Linked DNA regions of Drosophila melanogaster. The gene in region 4 interacts genetically with the main gene of each other region. Each region holds a gene or a part of one and is shown on either strand. Other genes may lie near its edges. The genes, in order: Pvr, Scr, tna and skd.

Region 1 (4,757 bases), on a different chromosome or scaffold from region 4:
GTTGTTTCTTTTCTTTTCCATAAACTGGGAACTTAATAAAAATAATAGAAAGACCATTGCCGGTGAAATTGAATCGTTGGCATTCTGCCCACATATTATACAACTACAACGCGTGGCGACAACAAGTTGGTTGGTTGGCCAGCTGCTGGCGAATAAATAGAAATGTTATATGCGTTCACTTAATAGCCGACAAGTGTTTAATTTGTTTGTTTTGGGTTTCGCCCGATTAATAAATAAATATGGCCAATGTATATAGCCCATTTAGTGCCTCGCCGTGACCTCAAAACATGGCTCAATTTTATGCGATTTGTTTACTCAATGCATTTTTTGTTTTGACTGGCTGGCTGCCTTCTGCCATTTTATTCCCGACGGAAATAAGATTGCTTTTATATATATATATACATATATTTTCTTATTTCCCTGATTCTCCGAAGTGCACTTGATTACGTGCAGTTTATGGGGCAGATAAAATTTTCCCAACGAATGGGCTTTAGTCTAAAGTTTCCAGCGCTTATGAATGGGCTTTAGTCTAGGGCTCAGGTGAAAGCCAATTGCCTGCTTAGCCTTTTTTTTTGCAGATTTATGGCCAAGTTATTTCCACCTCTCCATGCAGACAGTTACAATGGCCTGGCCAAAACATTTGTTGTCCGCTGTCAATTTATTATTTGTTATTTATTATTTACGTTCTGACTCAGACCACGGCGGATGTAAAGAGGCGAAGGTGTCCATTCATAGAATGCCAAACCAACCAACCAACCAGCCAGCCAACCAACAAAGTGGTGTGAAAACGTGTTCAATGCTGGCCGAGATTGTCCAACGAATCGGTTTTATTTATGGCTTATTGGTAACCGGCAAATTCAATTAAACAGATATTATCTTAAATGGAAATTTATGAGCCAATTCGCCCAAAGAGTTAAGGGGTTTCTCAAAAATGTTTCAGCTTATCCGAACTGCCTTAGAGAAACGCAAAATGATTTTTCTCTCTACAGATGTACAAAATGTACCTAAACTCAATTCTAGTGTTTTTATCTACAACAGGAAGTCAATCTTCTGTGCATAAGCAATCCTCTTGAGATTAAAAAGATCTCTTGTGCAATAATACATATCAGCATTCTAAATATCTCTAGAGATATTACAATCGCTTGAAATGCACACAAATTCGTTGTCACACACATTCTTTGATTATTTTGAAGTCTATTTTCGGCGAGTTCTGCTTAAATATTTTGTGTGTATTTATAATTAGTTTCTATTAATGCGAAAGAACTACTTTGTTCATTTTTTCCAGTGCATACAAAGTAATTTATTCGTAATGGAGCTCTCTACTTCAGCACAATCAACTACAGTAAAGTATCTCTAATTTGACACCCACTGCGGGGGGCGGGGCAGGTGTGCGTATCTGGTGGATACTTGGCCATAAGCCCCACCTGATTAATGTGCCATGTGCATAATGGGTAGGTGTGAAAAAGAGGTGCAAGTGGCCAGTAGCAATGTGATGGGTGCACATTTTCCAAGAACCACTAGTATCCATTGATTATTCTGGCTTATCACAACAGTTGTTCAACGCTTGATGCCAGGTGAATTGCGAATTTGGCCAGGGGAATTACAATAAATATTTCATCAACACCATTCGCGGACATTTTTATGACTCCAAACTTTGACGATTCGTAGCAGTTTTGTACCACATTTTCCGGACATTGAGAACGATGGCAATTAACAACAGCCTGGGCTGGGCAGCCTTTTGAAGTGGCCAGAGATAAATGGAGCAGTCGGCAAACTGAAGGAGGTCTGTATTCAATAAACAAATTGGGCACAGTGTGCAATTGGAGGCAATGAATTATGGGCATCTGATTTGATCAGAACTTCTCGATCCTGAGTCACGTATTGGGGGAAAATGTATCAACAGTTCGTTTGGTCAAGAAACGGATGGCGTGGAACCGGTTTAAGAAAGTCGCTATAGACACATTCAGTTGACCAGGCAAACAAAAGAAAGGTGAACCCTTTCTTCTATATATATATGTACATATATATGTATATATACCAACTTTATTTGGGTGTTTCTGGAAAAGCAGTATGAGTAAATTCGAAATCCATCGTAGTGTTATTCATATTTTCATAGTCTTACGCAGTCTACCGTTTGATCGCAGCAGCTTGGCAACAACAACAACTATTGAAGATACAACAACAACTTTTGAACGTACAACAGTCACGATCGGCGATGAATCACGATTTGAATACCTGGCACCGGTGGATGTTTGCAGTCTTGATTACTTGGAATGCCGCTGACGTATTCACCATAGACACACGCACACTTTTCGTAGACCCAACACTTATATGCACTTATCAATGAATAATACCAGGCAGTGATAATAGCACACACACACACACACGCACTTAGAAAAAGGTCACTGATAATAGTTCATTATGTACACCATCTATAGGAGCATAGTGACCATGACTATTTTGGGTGTTTTTTTTTTGTATAATTGCATCGAATTGAGCAACATCACGAGCGCCGAATTCGATTTCGATTTTCGAGCTTACGATTGACAATCACTTAGAACTCTTGTCAACCACCTGTGGCTGAGTTTGCACTTGTATTCGAATTCCGATTCGTATCTGTGTTTGTTTTTTACTTTTGCGAAGGTGTGGGGGTTCGCTCACATCGATATCTAAACTTTTGAGTGCGGATTCATTTGCTTAGCACCTTTGATGCTTCACTTATACTTATATACGACACGATTTGGTTTCGTTTCCACACGATTCTATATCTATATTATCGGACGTATCTTCGAGCCTTTCAAAAATTAACGCTTACGTTGTGGTTTTCTGTGCTTAACACTTTCTGCGTGGGGCACTTCAGCAGTATCGGTTGCTCTTGAAAGACAATAAATACTGCGTCGTCGGCAAAGTTTGAACAGTTTGCACCGAACACAAGTCAAAAGCCCGCGAAATTTCCTTCCGCTTTGACGTCCGAACAGCTCGAAAAGTTAACGTTAACTAGAGCTGGGGCACTATCGACGGTACTATCGAGGTATCCGATTCGATTGTTATTTTTTGCTATCGATGAGCGTTATCTACAGCATGTAGAATAGAACGGATAGAATAATATTTTTGTTATATCTTTAGTCAACATCATTTGAATTTTCTTGTTTCGTTAGGGAGTTTATCTCTCGTTTAGTTTCCTTTTATTATTATTTCATTATTATTTTGAAAGGTGAAGTGTACTAAATAACGAGCTAAAAATTGAACGCAATCACGCTATTCGCGGCGATGCCAGACCGCTTGAAAACAGTTCCAGTTGGCCAGTGGCGGCCAGTGATGCCATGCGTACTAAATTTCCTAACGGTTTTAGTTTTAGATCGAAGTGCTTAAAATAAAGTTTTCTTTTATTAAATAATATTTAGTATCATTTAAGCATTTCTAACGATTTGTCAGCTGAGTAAGGGGATTGTGATTTATAAGGGTCTCGACTATAGCATTTTCACTACTTTCCACCTATTAAATATTTTCAGGAAACTGGTAAATCCTTTTATTCTACAATAAAGTATAATACAATTTCCATTTATTATTGATAAGAAATAGTACATTTTATTCATTCGGTTTCACAAAGTGGCCCTGGAAATAAATGGTTTCCCTATCGCGAATGACATAGGCAAAAGGATGATCGGCATTAAAAACCATTTGAGATGACGGCATAGGCATACTATAGCGCACGAAAAGTAAAGCTGGCAAAAATAAAACATATTATACAAATATATATATAATAAAATTATATCATACCTGTTGCAGCCGCTGCCTCAGCTCCTTCTTCATTAACCTCGATGAACGCCTTATGAATGACTTTTTTCACATGAACGTTACTGTTTTCGACCAGATCTTTGAAGTCAGCAGATTTTTCGAACGCATCTTGTATGCCCATCTATAGATGAATATCTATAAATTGTAAGGGTGTATCAAGAATAATCTGTGAATACTCACCGCCACAAGAACTTTGTTTAGTTGAGCGAAGAATTCGATTTTAAACTTGGGAAGCCTTAAAGTTACATCCATTTTGGAAAGTTTCGGTTTGAATCCTACAATCTTTTTCTCCAGCTCTGATAGTCCATCGACCTGGTCCGGTAGAAAAATTAGCATGGACAGGCTTGAATTTCTGTAGGGCAGCTCGATAATTTTGGCACCCAGTTCACTATCATGTGCGGCCCTAAATGATTGAAATAGTGACATCATCTCGACAGGAACACTCTTTTGATCCGAAACACGGAAATTCCTCTTCTTCGTTAACTTGGGATTAAATTTGTACTCCCACTGGCCTTTAAAGTATATGGCATTTAAGACGATCAATTCCATTTTCGACATGTCATTGGATGAAACTAAGTCTTTGATTTTACCACGCGTCTGATTATCTACCCAATTATTGACAATTGAAGAAGCCTTATTGGGATCGACAATGTCGATTGCCTCCGCTTCAGCCATAAATGAATCCTTGACCATCTGATTGTAACTCGGTACTAGCTGGAACTTTTTGTTCACGTATATGCGATTAGCCAAACTGAGAGTGGCTACCTTCTCGCGTCCTTCGAGTTTACTCAGAAGGTCCTTGTATTTGGCTGCCACTTCCTTTTTGTCATCGGGCAGTTTCAAAACATTCCTCATTTCTTGGGCTGTCTTTGCCCTGGCTCCCATGTAGGCCATGCTCAGTGCGATTTCCACGGAAAGGGGAGAGGAAATGAGATTATTGGCCGCATTTTCCTTGGCCA
Region 2 (4,627 bases), on a different chromosome or scaffold from region 4:
CGGTCATTGGCAAAGTCCCATGAAGTTCCAGCCCAGTGCGTCTTCTTTTATTTTACATAATTTCATGTTCGCCCCATGGCGTCTTGGCCAGCATGAGTTCGAGTTCCCCGGATAGTAGCCAAGCCTATATCGTGGGCATTTCTTCATCCCTATCCCAGCTTGGGCTCGGTATATAACGCTATGTGTCTGGATTAACCTTCTATATGCGGCGCTTGTTAGGCATTTTTCATTCGCTGTGACATTTCGCCTTTGTGCCTCTTAATTATTTCAAAAGCGGCTGCATTTCGCTTTAATGAAGTGAAAATTCCTTGCGTTGATACCGCACACGCAACCTTATGAAAAATTGCTTAAACAGAATACAGAAACAAAGCCCCGATATAGGGAAATATATAAAATGTATTTTCTGGGTTCGGTTACTAGGTATCAAAATATATTTCATTGATTTTTTCAAATTATATTATTTGATATGGAGTGTCTTAAGAAGCAAACAGGGGAAATTATTACGCACCTTTGATGATTTCTTCAAAGAATATTAAATTGATTTATTAAAGAAATTAAAAATTTCTTATTTTTTTTTAACTTACTAGTGTTGGTATTATTTCTTCAATAAGAAAGTCAAAGTACAAGATAAAGATTGTAAGATTAAAAATAAAATTTAAGGTGGTAGAAATATTGTTACTTAAAAAAATATGTACATACGAACAAAGCACTTTTTTATTGTAAATATTATTTGATAAATAAAATCGCATCAAATTGTTAAGAAAAAACTATAATTAAATTGCTTTAGACCAAATATTGCTACATAAGTTCTTAACACATCAAAAAAAAAAACACTAGAAAATACAAAACAAAAACTGACAACGAATAAATATCCTTTCCATGACTGTTTTCACCTGTTCCAAAGCGCTTAAAATATTTTCAGCCGTTAAACTCGTTTACTCACAATTTTAGTTAGCCGACGGCGTTCACCTCCGTTCAAGTGAGTTTGTTTTCTGATTTTCACTGCACTGAACCACGATTTTCACTTGTGCTGAGTGCGGAAATCAACGTGCACAATTACGAAGGTAGAATTGTCACAACCAGCCGGATATCTGGGAAATTAATCCGATGGCATCCTGAGGGCAAACTGGCTAGACTTTTGCGTCCTACCTGCAGGCTTATGTTTTGGATGGTTCTAATGGGTAATTGGCCGCAAAGGGCTAAGCGACGGATTTGGACGGCTTTTGGTATCACAAACACACAAGCACACGCGCAATTTGTTACAGATCACGATAAGTATATGCGCTATGACGGAGTATCTAAGTATCTGCGCGAATTTCACGCCGAATTTATGACTGTCCATCAGCGCCAGCATCGATGCAAGCACTTTGCAGTCCATCCATCTTTCGCTAAAATCGAACAGTATTCGAGGGTCTTTACACGCGGAACAGCTGAGTGTTGGATTGTTTGAGTTTTTTTATTTGTGCTTTTTTTTCTGTTATTCCGGTGTATCCGCGGATACGTGCTCGAAGCGCCAATGTCTCACTTTGACTGCTCGGGCATAATTCAAATTTCTGAGCATCAATAAAAAACACAGATACGCCAGCGCTCTGGCTCACTCATACTGCTCCATTTCCCCCGTCCAATTGTATCTGCGAGTACGAGCAAGTAAGGCTATATGGCTATACAGCTACATATCGTCGTCCAAGTGCAGTGTTCATTATTCGAAAAGTGTGCGAGAGAGACAACGGGCATTGCGCCGCTCCGCCATCTCGCTCGCTCTCAGGCATGTGCTGAAACTACCTTTGCGGACGCGAAGAACGTTTCGAATCAACCGCCAAACCAGAAATTCGTTCCCACAAATTGTATCTCACGGATACGAATACGACACATCGGTGTGTGTGTGTGTGAGTTCGAAAGAGCGGTAGTTCGAAAAGCACCGCTCTCGCGTGTTTCGAACAAGTTCTTATTGAGAGAGATCGTTACTCGGTAGTTCGAAAATCATGTTTCGAACTGCGACTAAAGTCTTATTGTTCTCACCGACACTGTCCGTGTGAGATCGATTTCGGGGGACCAAATCATAAACATTCGAACTCCGTACTTTGGGCTAGTTGGGATAAAATCAAGACTCTGGGACTCATTTTGGGAGTTTGGAGAAGTAAAATCTGTCTCTGAAGATTTAATATATATTTTTAATGTTGTTCATATATTTTTTTTTAGTTAAGTGTGCAGTTAGTTTATATAACATTTGGAGGTATTGCAAAGAAGTAAAGTAATTGGATTTCTGAACTTGCTAAAATAATATATATTTATAAAAAATATATATATATATATTATATTGATTTTTTACAATTGACACCTTTTTTGTATTCTACAATATTTATTGTTTGTTAAATTGACTCTAAAATATTCAATCCTCCACACCACAGTGCAGTTTTAATTCAGAATGATTTGAGTGGAAAAGTTTAGAAAGGTTAAAAGGAACCATTTAACGATATATCGATGGTTTCATTTAAACCTTTAAGGGCAAAACTTTCTTAAATTTTCTTCTTACATTCAGAGTTTAGTTTTTCTACGTTTGTTATTTTCTTACCTTTATGTGGACGATTTGGGGAAATCCAATCAGACGCTACGAACAAGTCGTTGTAATTCAATTAGTTTTCTTAGCCAGCACTTCACTGTATACTTTTTATTTTCGTATTAATTGTATTTGCCTTTTGCACTGCACTTTGCTATCTTAGTTATTTGCGAAGATGAGCAGTTTGAGAAATTATTTGAGGTGGGTAGGTAATTCCGCTCCTATGTAAAGGAGTTAGTCGGTAAAGTATCCGCTATGGGGAGACCATGGCACCTTGCCGTCGCCAAAGAGCTTTCCATGGAATCGCAAGACTGGCTTTCAAGCGGAAACTTCGCGGATTGCTACGCGTACGAATACGAGAACGTGTATCTGTATCTTTTTATGTTTGCAGAAGACCGAGCGCGCTGCTTGGCGACTGAAGTGCGCCACGTTCAATTCACGTTTGAGCCATAAAAACCGACAAAACGACCCTCTCGTGCGTTGCCTTGTGTGCGTTTCGAACACTGTAAATCATTTGAGGACCCGGCCAACGAGTGCGAGAGAGAGGACGGACAGTGCGCATTTTCGAAAATCCTGCTGTCCCACTTGCACCCACGGCAGACTCCGCCCCCAGTCTTGATTTATGCGACGAGGGTGCCACGGCAACCGGCCTATGGCGCTCCAGCTTTTCCCTCGATTTGGGGAAAAGCGCGCTCTCGAGAAAAGCGAGAAATACGAGAAAAGCGAGAAAAAACAGGTAGTTGGCAGCCACTCCAGGACACATCTGCCCCCGGTTCACGCTCCAGATTAGGCCGAAATCATCCTAGATTAGGCGTCTCCCCCACTTTATTTGTATTCAATCGTGGCACTGTTCCGCTAAATCACCGCCACATTATTATTTCGCATTATTATTTTATAAACGTTCCGCTCCGCGTTCATTTCCATTTTTATTGGCCTGGCAAAATGCAAAGTCTCCTGCTGAAGCTTAAGTTATTCCTCCTTTAAAACGAGCTCGTTGGCAGTTGTCTCTGAATTTAAATTTATCGGTCTGTTTCGGGGCTGCGGATCGGGTTCTCTTTGGGCCGTAGCCAAGTTCAAGTTCTCATGATTCATTCAGCATCGGGGCTTAACGATTTTGATTTGTTTGGCTAAATGCCTTAATTAAAAGTCGATTTCATATTTGCTACCAACAATCCAGCATCGCATTCAGAGCTGAACACACATATGGTTTGATTTTGGCGTCATTTGAATTTGAATTCAATTGATTAGTTTGTCTCGGAGATTTAAATGTTGATTAGCTATTTTTTATCATAAAAATGAGTTGCTGGTTAAGACACACCCAAAATCGATTTTGAATGAGATTATTTTTTTTATTTTTATTTTTGGAATCTAACGTTTATGTTGCGAAACCACAAACATATACCAAATACAGATAAATGGCATAGGTCATTCGTAATATATTGCAAAAGCAAAAGTTTGTTTTAATAAGTATTTATAGTGAGTGTCTTAAAAATTATCTTATTTAAAAACGTATAAACTTAATACGTTTATTTGATACGAACTTGTAATAAAAGTGTTTTTTTAAGTGGTACTGAACGGTTACTTTCGAAACCCGAAACGCGAAATCAGCAATTCTTTCGAAAATATGTTTATTAAAATATAAATAAATTTTGTAAGTACGTATTTCGGAATTTATAGCTTAAGTTTATGTACCAATTCGATTTGTTCTTCTTATAGAAGTCGTATTTTTTGCCATATGTTTTCCGCTGTGTTTTTGAAACACACATGTCAGCTCTTTATGGTTGGCCCGCATCATCCACAAACCATATAAAAGTATAGAAAAAAACAAATGATGGAAAATAAATGAAAAACTAAAAAAAAAAAATCATAAGAGAGACGCCTGCGTGTACTTCTGTAATTGGAGTTGATGTTGGCGATGCCAGCGGGCAGCCAGCGCCAGACTCTCGTATCCCAATCCATAGCATAGCATAGCATCCTCTCGGATCCCATTCCATTCTAGATCCATGGAGGGTCCCCAGCAGCATCCAACATGTTGCAGGCGATTTTTCATCATCGCTTGCATGTTGCCTC
Region 3 (4,893 bases), about 10 Mb from region 4:
TTTGAGATTTTTGTAATTAAGAGATACATTTTTCTTTCTCTGCATTTGTATCTGTTTATGGGCAGCAGGGCAACGCTTGGATTCTAATTGTCGAAGTCGTCATTTGTCGTCGCTTTTTCATTGGCGTCATCCATTGCTGTCGTCGGGGTGTGAGATTTAAGTCGGTTTATCGACAGCATCGTCGCCGATTTTGGTTGCGTATTGTCGCCTATATGGCACCTCCCCCCCCCTATTTATGCTCCCCCCTGAAAGCCCCACCGATTGATCATCATCATCATCATTGTACGCTGCCTTTGTTTGTGCGGCTCGCGTATTTCTTCAATAAATTTTCAGTTTATTCGGTTTATTTATTTACTTATATTTGCTATTGCTCTTTAGCTCGTATCCACCGCCCCACTTCAGTTCACAATTCCCTTTCCATTTTGGCTTCTTCGCTTTTCGCTTTGTTTTCTCGCAGCCTTATGATTATTTTTCTCAGTTTCCACCTCCGAAGAGCCCCATTCCCTCCAAATCTTCGCCCTCCATCGTCTCCGTCGCTCGCGTAATTGAATTTCAACTTGTTTGCATTGTCGACGATGATGATAATTCGTCGGGGTATTTTGCGTATTGAGATCAGGGCCTCATCAATTAGTAAATTAATTTTATGCTCGCCGCTTTATGGAAATAAAGTTTTGCAGCATCCGAGCCGAGGAAAGTGGAAAATCAGAGGGATGAGCACAGGAAGCAAGCTTAAGATTGAAAATCTTGTTTGTTTACTCAGTTAGAAAATCGCCTGGAATTCTTGAGATATTCATCCCGAAGGCCGTCGTAAAAATCCTTAATCAATTTATGGCTCTTTTGTGTTCTGAACAATTTAATTAAGTTCTTTAAGGCACTGCAAACTACTTTGTTGTATACAAATGAACAAATATTAACCTTTTACTGCTAACGAAACTAAACAAATATAAAAAATGTTAGTCTTGAACTGAGCAATATTATTATAAATTTTAAATATAATTACTATGCAATACTGCAGCTCTTCAAATAACAAATGTATTTTAACTTAACTACCACTTCCCGCACATTTTTCAACTAGTTAACTTTTATTTGTCCCATTTTACAGAATGAAATGTCAGTAAATATTTTTGTAATTATTCGATTTATTTTTTGCGCCATTTGACGTACCAAAATTTCAATTATAATCAGCTTTGGCTTTATTTAAATATGGCACACATTTACCAACCAACCACCACTCCCACTTTTAGCTCATTATTTATTTTCTACTGTCCGTTTCCCACGGAAAGTTGCAATTATCATATTTGACTTTTCCGCATAAATTCTGTGAATTATCTCACCGCAACTATTTTTATTTGTTTTAATTATTATTATAGTAGTTTTAGCAAATGTATTTTGTTGCCATTTTATTTTTTGTGTTTCACAAAATATTACAGAACTCGAACGGAATGTTTGTGCCATTGATTCGTATTTGCGGTTGGCAAACCGAAACGAAATGTGCAACAAATTATTTCTGATATTATTATTTATTTATAGAAAAAGCTGAAAATAGAAAAAAAGTCATCAGCAAAATATGATATGTGACAATTCAATCACAAATCGAGATAGGAACCCTCTCTCAATTTTATATATTTTTTTGTTGTGTTGATCCCAAATGCAAAAATTGCCCGTTAAAATGCAATCTTCATTATTTAATTTATTTGAATTTTTGCTGGCAATAAATATTCATTTCTGACCGTAGTGGGTGTTGGCCTCTGTAGATATGGGAAAATTGTATGCAAATACAATTAAATGTTTTCATATGCATTTTGTGTGCTCCTCGATTTGATTGCTGCCAAGGGATATGTCTTGTTCAAACGGTTTACGTGGCGTATACTTGATATTATGTATTTTCTATGAATGTGCAATTTTTATTTATTATGCCAAGCAATTGAGAAAGAAAGAAAGATTAATCAAGAGCTTTGAAGAATATGTTATATATATATATATTGGGTTTGAATACTTTCCGCTCGAGCCCATTGAATATTTAAACATTACAATTGCTGTGGTGATTTCTGGCCATTTTAATCTGCTGCTAAGTCCCACTTTTGTCCGGTCAATGTGTAAATCAATAATGCATTAAAAACTTATTAGAACAAACAAGGATTCATTAGGCGCAATCTGTGTTCGTCCGTTTCGCAGTTGTTATTTATATCGATATAACAAGGTAATAACTGCACACTTAAGTATGCAAATAGCCTGGCCCGCACCTTCGTCCTTGTATGCCTGTGTGTGCGTGCGTCTGTGTTTGCACATGCAAATGTTATCATTTGTGATTAGTTACAGTCCTGAAATGCTAATGCCCCTTGACAAGCAACAGCAACAACCGCAAGACAACTCACTTTCGGGTTAACTGGAATGCCAGCCAGTGTATGTCTGTGTATGTCTGTACATCTGTGTGCCTTTGATCCTTATGAATAGTCAGCCAGCCGGAGGACGAGCCGAATTTGCCCCGGCTGGCATTGTGCTTCGCTCTGAATTATTTACACAAATCCAACTGCAATCGTTTGTCAATTTGCCAATTGACAGTGAACATAATTGATGGTGATTAAGGGTGAACGTAGTAGGTAAAGAAGGTGGGATTGCTTTATGAAGTCATTCGCTTGGCAAAAGATTGTTATGTTGTAGTGTGAGGCCATAGATTTGGTAAATTATTGTCGTACCGTTACTATTGTAAGTCTCAAAACTGAAAGACTTATCTTAACACTGTAATTATAAATACTAATTCGATATCTATGATATATATATAGTCTATTATATCTAAGGATAACATACTTCCCTCCGTTGAGTGCATCCTGCAACTGCTTCAAGCATCGATCGATTTTTCTTTCCCTCACTTGTGAGCCATATTTGGATGACGAATAGGGATCGAACAGGAATGGAAAATAGGGATGTGGGTCAAACGTTAAAACGGAAGTCGAATCATCTTTGGTGATTTCCTCCTTGACTTTCTCCTTTCTGGACTCCTTCACTTGTTCCACCTTTTCACTCATTTCGCCACTTGCCAATCTGCGTTACGTATACGCCACGTTGAACAAACCACGTCTAATCGAACCGAGATTTTTTTACCGCACTTCCAAACGCATCGAACTCTCTTTGGCAACTGCCGTCTAGTTCTTTGTCCAACTTCCTCTGCGATTAATTTTTATTAGTAGTGCCTCCAGTGCCTGGCAGTAGTTATTACAGTTGGCCAGCGCACATCTTAGCCATAGGTGGACTAATCACCAGCGCCATCAGCTGCAGTCTTACAGCAACGGCTGGCACTCGATTGCCTTCACCACCCATTCTGAAGGCCACGCGAAGCTTTTTGCATATTGCGTATACGTCATGTGCGTCCGGGATCGAGTTTCATTTCACGGTAATATATGAAAAATTCCTGGTAATGCAATGCGATCCCCAAACTGATTGCTTTAATGGTTTGTTGACTCAGTTAGCTGGCGAATAACAGCAGCTACTGTCAGCGTATTTCTATAAACTCTTAAAGTCGGGTTTTAAGTACATTAGACCTTGTGCTGTGATCCTCATATGAGTGGAATATTCCTACTGTGCGATTTATTGAGAGTGCTGAAAATATACTTTTCGAAAAATTTTCAATAAAAATATTGCAATCTGCTATTACTGCGAAATATCTTCTTAATTCATATCAATGAATGTATTTCATCAATGTAAATTCCCATTTGTATGGGATATACTTAGAAAATTATAGACCATCTCTATGAAAATTCTTTGCAACACAATAGTAACTCAATTCATTCAAATAATAAGGGAATTTTTAAACTCGTCGAGTTTTCTAAATGATCTAGTTTTATTAAAAGAGTAATATAAGTATATACCTTAACTTTCCGCTTTCTTCGCAATACACTTTGGGGTAATTCCTCAAATATTTTCGTCGTTCGTCGGTCTAGCTGGGAAAATTGAGAAGTGAGAGGTGGAAAAAGTGACCTCATTTGGCATAGGACCTCATTTCCTAACGCCCAACGAACCGCTATTTTTTGTTGTACGTCGCAGTTAAGTGTCCTTTCGCATTTCGTTTGCTTGGTGTTTGTCCTGTTTTGTGGGCGGTTGATTTGCTCCTTGGCTCCTCCCGCATCCTGTTCGTCCTGCCCTTGTTTTGCTTTCGGCTTGGTGCCCATGTAACTTGCTGGAAAATTAATAATAATAAAAAAACACCTACCACGGGGTGGGAGTACACGCGTGACCCTATTAAATGTGTGCTAATAAAAGCTTGGCAGCTCCGAAAAAAAATCCAAGGAAAATAAGGGAAACACGCAGGGGCAAGAGCGCAGATAGCTGACCAAGTGCGTAATGTTGGACAGAATATTTCTATGCCCAAGTGGTGAAGAAGTCTTGCTTACAAATTTCTGAAGTGTACAATGGACGATGAAATTACTTAAAAATTCACGAAGAAATGCGAAAGATGACGATGATGATGGGGTGGGGAAAACAAAATCAACGCTCACAAAAGCGGAAACATTTAACGGGGGCGGTGGTGGGTTGATGGTGTTTCTATTTACGCTAAAGGTCAACTTTTTCCATTTGCAGCTTGGTCATTTATAAAATCTTTCGGTATTATTAAGCAAAGCGAGGAAAACCAACTAAGAGGATGAAGTGGTGGAAAGGACTAAGGAAGTACATAAAGAAAACCCAAGGAGGACCAAAGCCGAGTTCTGTTGTGTCCGCGATTTATCAAATTAATGAGTATCATTTTATTTTCATTTCATTTTCTATGCGCCAGCACAAAAAGCGAAGGACGAAATCTCCGAAATTCCAGCAAGGAGTGGTCCAAAAGGAGAGCTTCGAAAATTAAGGTAACTTTTTGGCAAAGCCAAAGGAAAAATGAGTGGAAAAAATGTATAAAAA
Region 4 (4,927 bases):
AGTAAATTACTTATTAAACACTGAAACATCACAACATTCAAAATTTTTGTGCGTACATTGCCCCAATTTTATGTATAAATATTAAAGAAGAGAAGAGATTGCCAATTGACCCTAAGAATGAAATATGACATCATAATGTAAAACATTAGAAATGATAAATAGTTCAATATCTGGTTTTAACATATTTTCGTGTGGCTGCATTCATGTTAAGTTTCTGTAGGATATTTGCGAAGCTTCTGCAGCGATAACGACAAACAGCTGTGTCTGACCGGCAGCGCCTACATTTCGGCTACCAATCGATAAGAGTGTGAGATTACGAGCGAGAGAGGGGTGGGGAAGAGGATGATCCCATGATCGGTAATGTAAATTGTTGTTTCTGAGTGGGTGACACACCCCCGCAGGCCAATGAGCCCCCTCGAGAACAACCCCTCCTGAATCATCAACACTGACCTAGATACTGCAGCAAAAAAAAATAAAGCCCATTGCGAAAAATAAGAAACAATTGCCCAGAAAATCAACACAGTACTCACCAAGGCATAAAAGTTTGTGTGGCAATCCTCCAAACTTGCGCCGTTTGTCTGATGATTTTGATGCGTCATAGTTCTTGGCTTGTTTTCTTCGCACAGCAGCAGCACCTCATTTTCTCAACGTTGTTTGCTTATAGTGTATTGCTATTATTGTTATTTATCCGATGTGTTGTTATTTGTTGTTGATTTTGATACTCTGTAGTATTTTGCACATTTGCTTGCTGCTTTTTCTGCTCTTTTTATTTTGGATTTTTATTTTTTATTATTGATTCTGCTGCACGCACACAGCAATACTCTCTCACACACACACACAACGGTATAGGCACGGACACACACGCGAGAGAGACGACACACACGGATACACAAATAATGAAGAGCTCTCTTTCGTCTCGTTTCTTTACTTTCGATATTTTGTGGTTGTTGTTGTGGTGTTAGATTTTGTTTGTAATTTGCTATTTGATGTTTGGTTTTGATTTTTATTATGTGTATTTTGTATTTATCTGCTCTCTGGGGAGAGTATGTTAGCGTAAACGTTGCTTTGGCAATGAAACACACATACTGTAGAATTAAGCATGTTGCTTTTGTTGTTGTTGGTTAAAGCTGGAATATAAGAAGAATTAGACTTTGAGCACACATTTTTCCCGCTTGGCATATGTTTTCTTTTCCGAAAGAGATGCATTTATTAGTTAATTTTCTTATTGTTTTAACTTGCTTATTTGTTGCTACACTCACTCAATCACACACACACATCTAGATCACAATTACAAGGGTTCGTTCATTCGCTGTTTCATTCATGCAAAAAGAGAGCAAGCAGAGAGAGAGAGCGACTCAGAAATTGACTTTTTTCAGCCACAGGCAGCGAGTATACACCGCACACACACATTTACTTCTAGAAACACACAAACGACGATGAAAGTCGTTGGATTTTCGTTAATCGTTGATGTAGACAAAATAAAATAGGTAAGAGTTTTCGGCTGTATTCGAATTCAAACCCAACCAATTTATGTTTAATCAAAAAGAACTACACATTTATAGAGCGCAAATCAAGATGAGTAATCAAGGAAAACACCAACACATGCACTCGCACGTACTGTGAACACACAAAACTCGAAGCTGCGACTATTTTTTGGTTTCGAAAAACAACAGTAGCTCAAAATATTTATTAATATTTAATCTATTACTCAGGCTTGAATTTCTTGCGTTGTATTTAGTGTTTTTTGCGCACGAATGACGAGTCAGAAATTTTCGAACCGACTGCGAACGCTGGTCGCCACACACAATGGAAATTTTGCTCGCCTAGCTTTGAATCGGCCATATATATGGTATATAGCCAGTATGTAGTGTAGTTGTACCAGCGGCGAGTGGCGAGAGAGCAGAAGAGGGCGAGTAGCGGCCGAATTCGAATAGCGGCTTTTGCTCTTTTTGCTGAGCAGAGAGTGAGAGAGAGGAGAGAGGGAGAAAACAAGTTTTACCAGCTAACTGCATATGCATTGGTGTGCGTGTGCGTTAGTGGCGTCGGCGTCTGTTTATCTCGCTCTCGCTCGCTCTTTGTGCATCTCTTGGGGATGCAACCATTTTGAGCGAGAGGCAGACAGAGAGAGACCGAGCACATAGATCGATTAAATTAAGGGAAAAATCTCAAACTAAAACGAAACTCGAAGGAAATCCGAAATTCCATAAATTATGCACTATACAACACTACATAGCACACACACGCACGCAAATATGTAGAGTGCGAAACGTGATACATAGACGGGCAGCAGCATTCCTCTCACACACACACGCATCAACCATACACCTACATGGCAGAGCAACCACTTTCGTAGTTTTCCTTTCGCACCGTTTTCTCTGTTTCTGGGCAGTAATGTGTGTGTACACATCAAATTTTCTGATTTTTACTTTCGGCCACTCGAAATAGCCGGAAAAAAATGCCATCGATAACTAAAATCGCACAGTTGTTGCATATTCCTCTTTCTTACACTCTCCTCCTTTTCCACCTCTTTCTTTCAATCACACACACACTACATAGGCACACCGCCGGGGCAGCGACCGCTAGAGCAATTAAAAACCATTAAACATTTCCGCTGCCAATGCTTAAACACGTCTTGAAAATCATTTAATGATTTTGCGCCACAATTATTTGTCAAACAACGGCACTTGGGCATTATTATTTATATTTAATTTGCTGCACCTCTTGCACGCATACACGCATACAGCACACACGCACACCCTCTCACTTCTCGGGCAATCGCTTTTGCATTTGCATTTTTGATCACTTTTCTACGTTTTAATCGCCGTTTTTGATGTTCTTTCCGACTACCGATGTAAACTTGTCTTGAATCTTTACATTTTGTGCCACTTTATCTATCGCATTCGCATACGGAAAAATCTGCGATCGATTTTTATAACAATTCGCAACAAATATGAGGGAAAACTTGCCGTCGGCGGCAGAGCCAGTGTTGCCAGCTAGCACAGACAGAAAACTACTAAAGAGGTGGCACAAAAGCACTAATAAATACCACAGAACACTAAGTCTTCACAATGGGAAGTTCAAAATATACAACAAATTAATACTTCTTAATTTAGAATGGTATATTTTTTAAATTATTTGTTCTATGTCTTCAAAGGTATTACACATCTTATATATAAATAAATAAAGGATCTCTTAAATTTAATTTAATAACGGTTATAGAAACCTTTTAATGAAATGGTTTAAGTGGTGCGAATGCGTAAAGTGATTGGAATGAAGTGTAAAATAAAAGATATTTTTATTCTGTTTGAATCAATTCCGTCAACTGATTGTTTGATCCTTCTTAAAACAAATTTTTTTAAAGGTGAATACAAACTATAATAAATTGTACAATAGAAGAATTTGTAATCTATTAAAATGGAAACAAATAAGTGTTTTGTCACCACTAGCATCCAATTGCATCGCTAACACCAGCCACTTGTGTTCCCATCCCTAAGAGTGACCGTACTCCCCATGGCCAAAAAGTGTGCACCGAAGCGGCGCTGCCGTGCGAAAACCTGTTCCCGCTCAAGACCGCCGTTACACACCCCCTGCGCCGCCTCCTCGGAATTCCATGACACTGCGTGGGGCAATAAAAACAAACAGAACGCTTGGCGGCCACCTGAGAGCGGAGCAGCGACCAACTGTAAAAGTGGGCCGCCCGGGAAGAAGAAGAAGCAGCGTAGGCAGCAGGTGACGCCGACAGCGACGTCGGCAGAGACGCAAGCAGCGACGGACCTCGAAGATTTCACTTTTCGACGAACGATTTAACTGAGCGGAGCTAAGAAACGCGATTTTCATACAAGCAATTGAAAAAAATAGTCGTGTTGTAGGCGAAAATAACTAGAAAATGGCCATGTACCGCGCCAGTGGGTTAAGGATTATGCAACAGATGCGACGCAGGATTCCCGTCGAACTGCAGCCACTCCAAGTGGCCAAAGCTGCGCCTGCGCTGCAAACTTTCACTTCTCAGCGCTGGACTTCGACGACGACGACCAGTGGAAAGCATGCCAGTCCACAGGTTACGACCCCGCCCCCGAGACACGACTGGAATAGGGCGGTCAGCGAGGCGGAGCGCATCGTCGGCTATCCCACATCCTTCCTCAGTCTGCGCTGGCTGCTCAGCGACGAGATCGCCAATGTGGCGCTGCACCTGCGCAAACTGGTGGGCAGCGCCCATCCGCTGATGAAGACGGCCAAGTGAGTGGTGCTGAAGGGCTTATAGGGCGTTGAAATTTATGTGAATCTTCCGCTTCAGGCACCTGCTCTACAATGGCAAGAACACGATGCAAGCCTGGGGATTGATAGTGCTCCTGGTGTCCAAGGCCGCAGGACATGCACCCAGTGTTCCAGACGTGGAGCAGGACAAGAGTGCCGGAGTGCTGCACTCCCAAAGGGCTTTGGCCGAGGTCACCGAGATGATACGGATATCTCATCTGGTGCACAATGTAAGTTTTTGATCAAATGCATTCGAAAGTTACTCGTAAACTGAAAGTGGTTTGTATGCAAATGAGTTTAACTTTCCTCAAATTTAGTTGACGAAACTCAAGAAACGAACATCAATATGTCATTGGTCGAGCTGATGCCTCATAGATTATAAAAATATTTACACTTGGTCCCATTTTAGAGCGTGGTTAATCTGCAATCGAGCACGCAGGCTGGGCAGGATGTGGACACCTACGACGACATGTCGTTTGGCAACAAGATCGGCCTGCTGACCGGCGACTATCTTCTGGGCCATTCCAGTGCGGAGCTGGCTAATCTGCGCAACCAGGAGGTGGTGGAGCTGATCTCGTCGGCGGTGCGAGATTTTTCCGAGTCGGAATTCATTGGAGAGCGTGATGAACAGAACAACCCGCTGCCTTATAAGCCAGGAACCTTCCAGCGACCA

The links.
Region 1: of skd (region 4) and Pvr, changing one suppresses a phenotype caused by changing the other (phenotypic suppression), as found in Drosophila melanogaster (one study listed by BioGRID).
Region 2: of skd (region 4) and Scr, changing one enhances a phenotype caused by changing the other (phenotypic enhancement), as found in Drosophila melanogaster (one study listed by BioGRID).
Region 3: of skd (region 4) and tna, changing one enhances a phenotype caused by changing the other (phenotypic enhancement), as found in Drosophila melanogaster (one study listed by BioGRID).

Annotation. Positions count from the first base shown.
Region 1 is NT_033779.5:8,236,877-8,241,633, forward strand, and holds the start of Pvr (PDGF- and VEGF-receptor related), read right to left. Parts: upstream 3,003-4,757; 5' UTR 2,816-3,002; exon of another isoform or gene 2,043-2,815; intron 1-2,042. Other genes in the region: Spn28F (serpin 28F), read right to left, coding at 3,589-3,725, 3,781-3,919, 3,979-4,757.
Region 2 is NT_033777.3:6,846,973-6,851,599, forward strand, and holds the start of Scr (Sex combs reduced), read right to left. Parts: upstream 3,010-4,627; 5' UTR 2,573-3,009; intron 1,534-2,572; exon of another isoform or gene 944-1,533; intron 1-943. UniProt on the Drosophila melanogaster protein: Sequence-specific transcription factor which is part of a developmental regulatory system that provides cells with specific positional identities on the anterior-posterior axis.
Region 3 is NT_037436.4:10,833,661-10,838,553, reverse strand, and holds the start of tna (tonalli), read right to left. Parts: upstream 3,027-4,893; coding exon 2,809-3,026; intron 1-2,808.
Region 4 is NT_037436.4:21,024,422-21,029,348, forward strand, and holds the start of skd (skuld), read right to left. Parts: upstream 3,014-4,927; 5' UTR 2,719-3,013; exon of another isoform or gene 2,507-2,718; intron 1,784-2,506; exon of another isoform or gene 1,709-1,783; intron 1,128-1,708; 5' UTR 600-1,127; coding exon 531-599; intron 1-530. Other genes in the region: Pdss2 (decaprenyl diphosphate synthase subunit 2), read left to right, coding at 3,887-4,236, 4,295-4,484, 4,664-4,927. UniProt on the Drosophila melanogaster protein: Component of the Mediator complex, a coactivator involved in the regulated transcription of nearly all RNA polymerase II-dependent genes.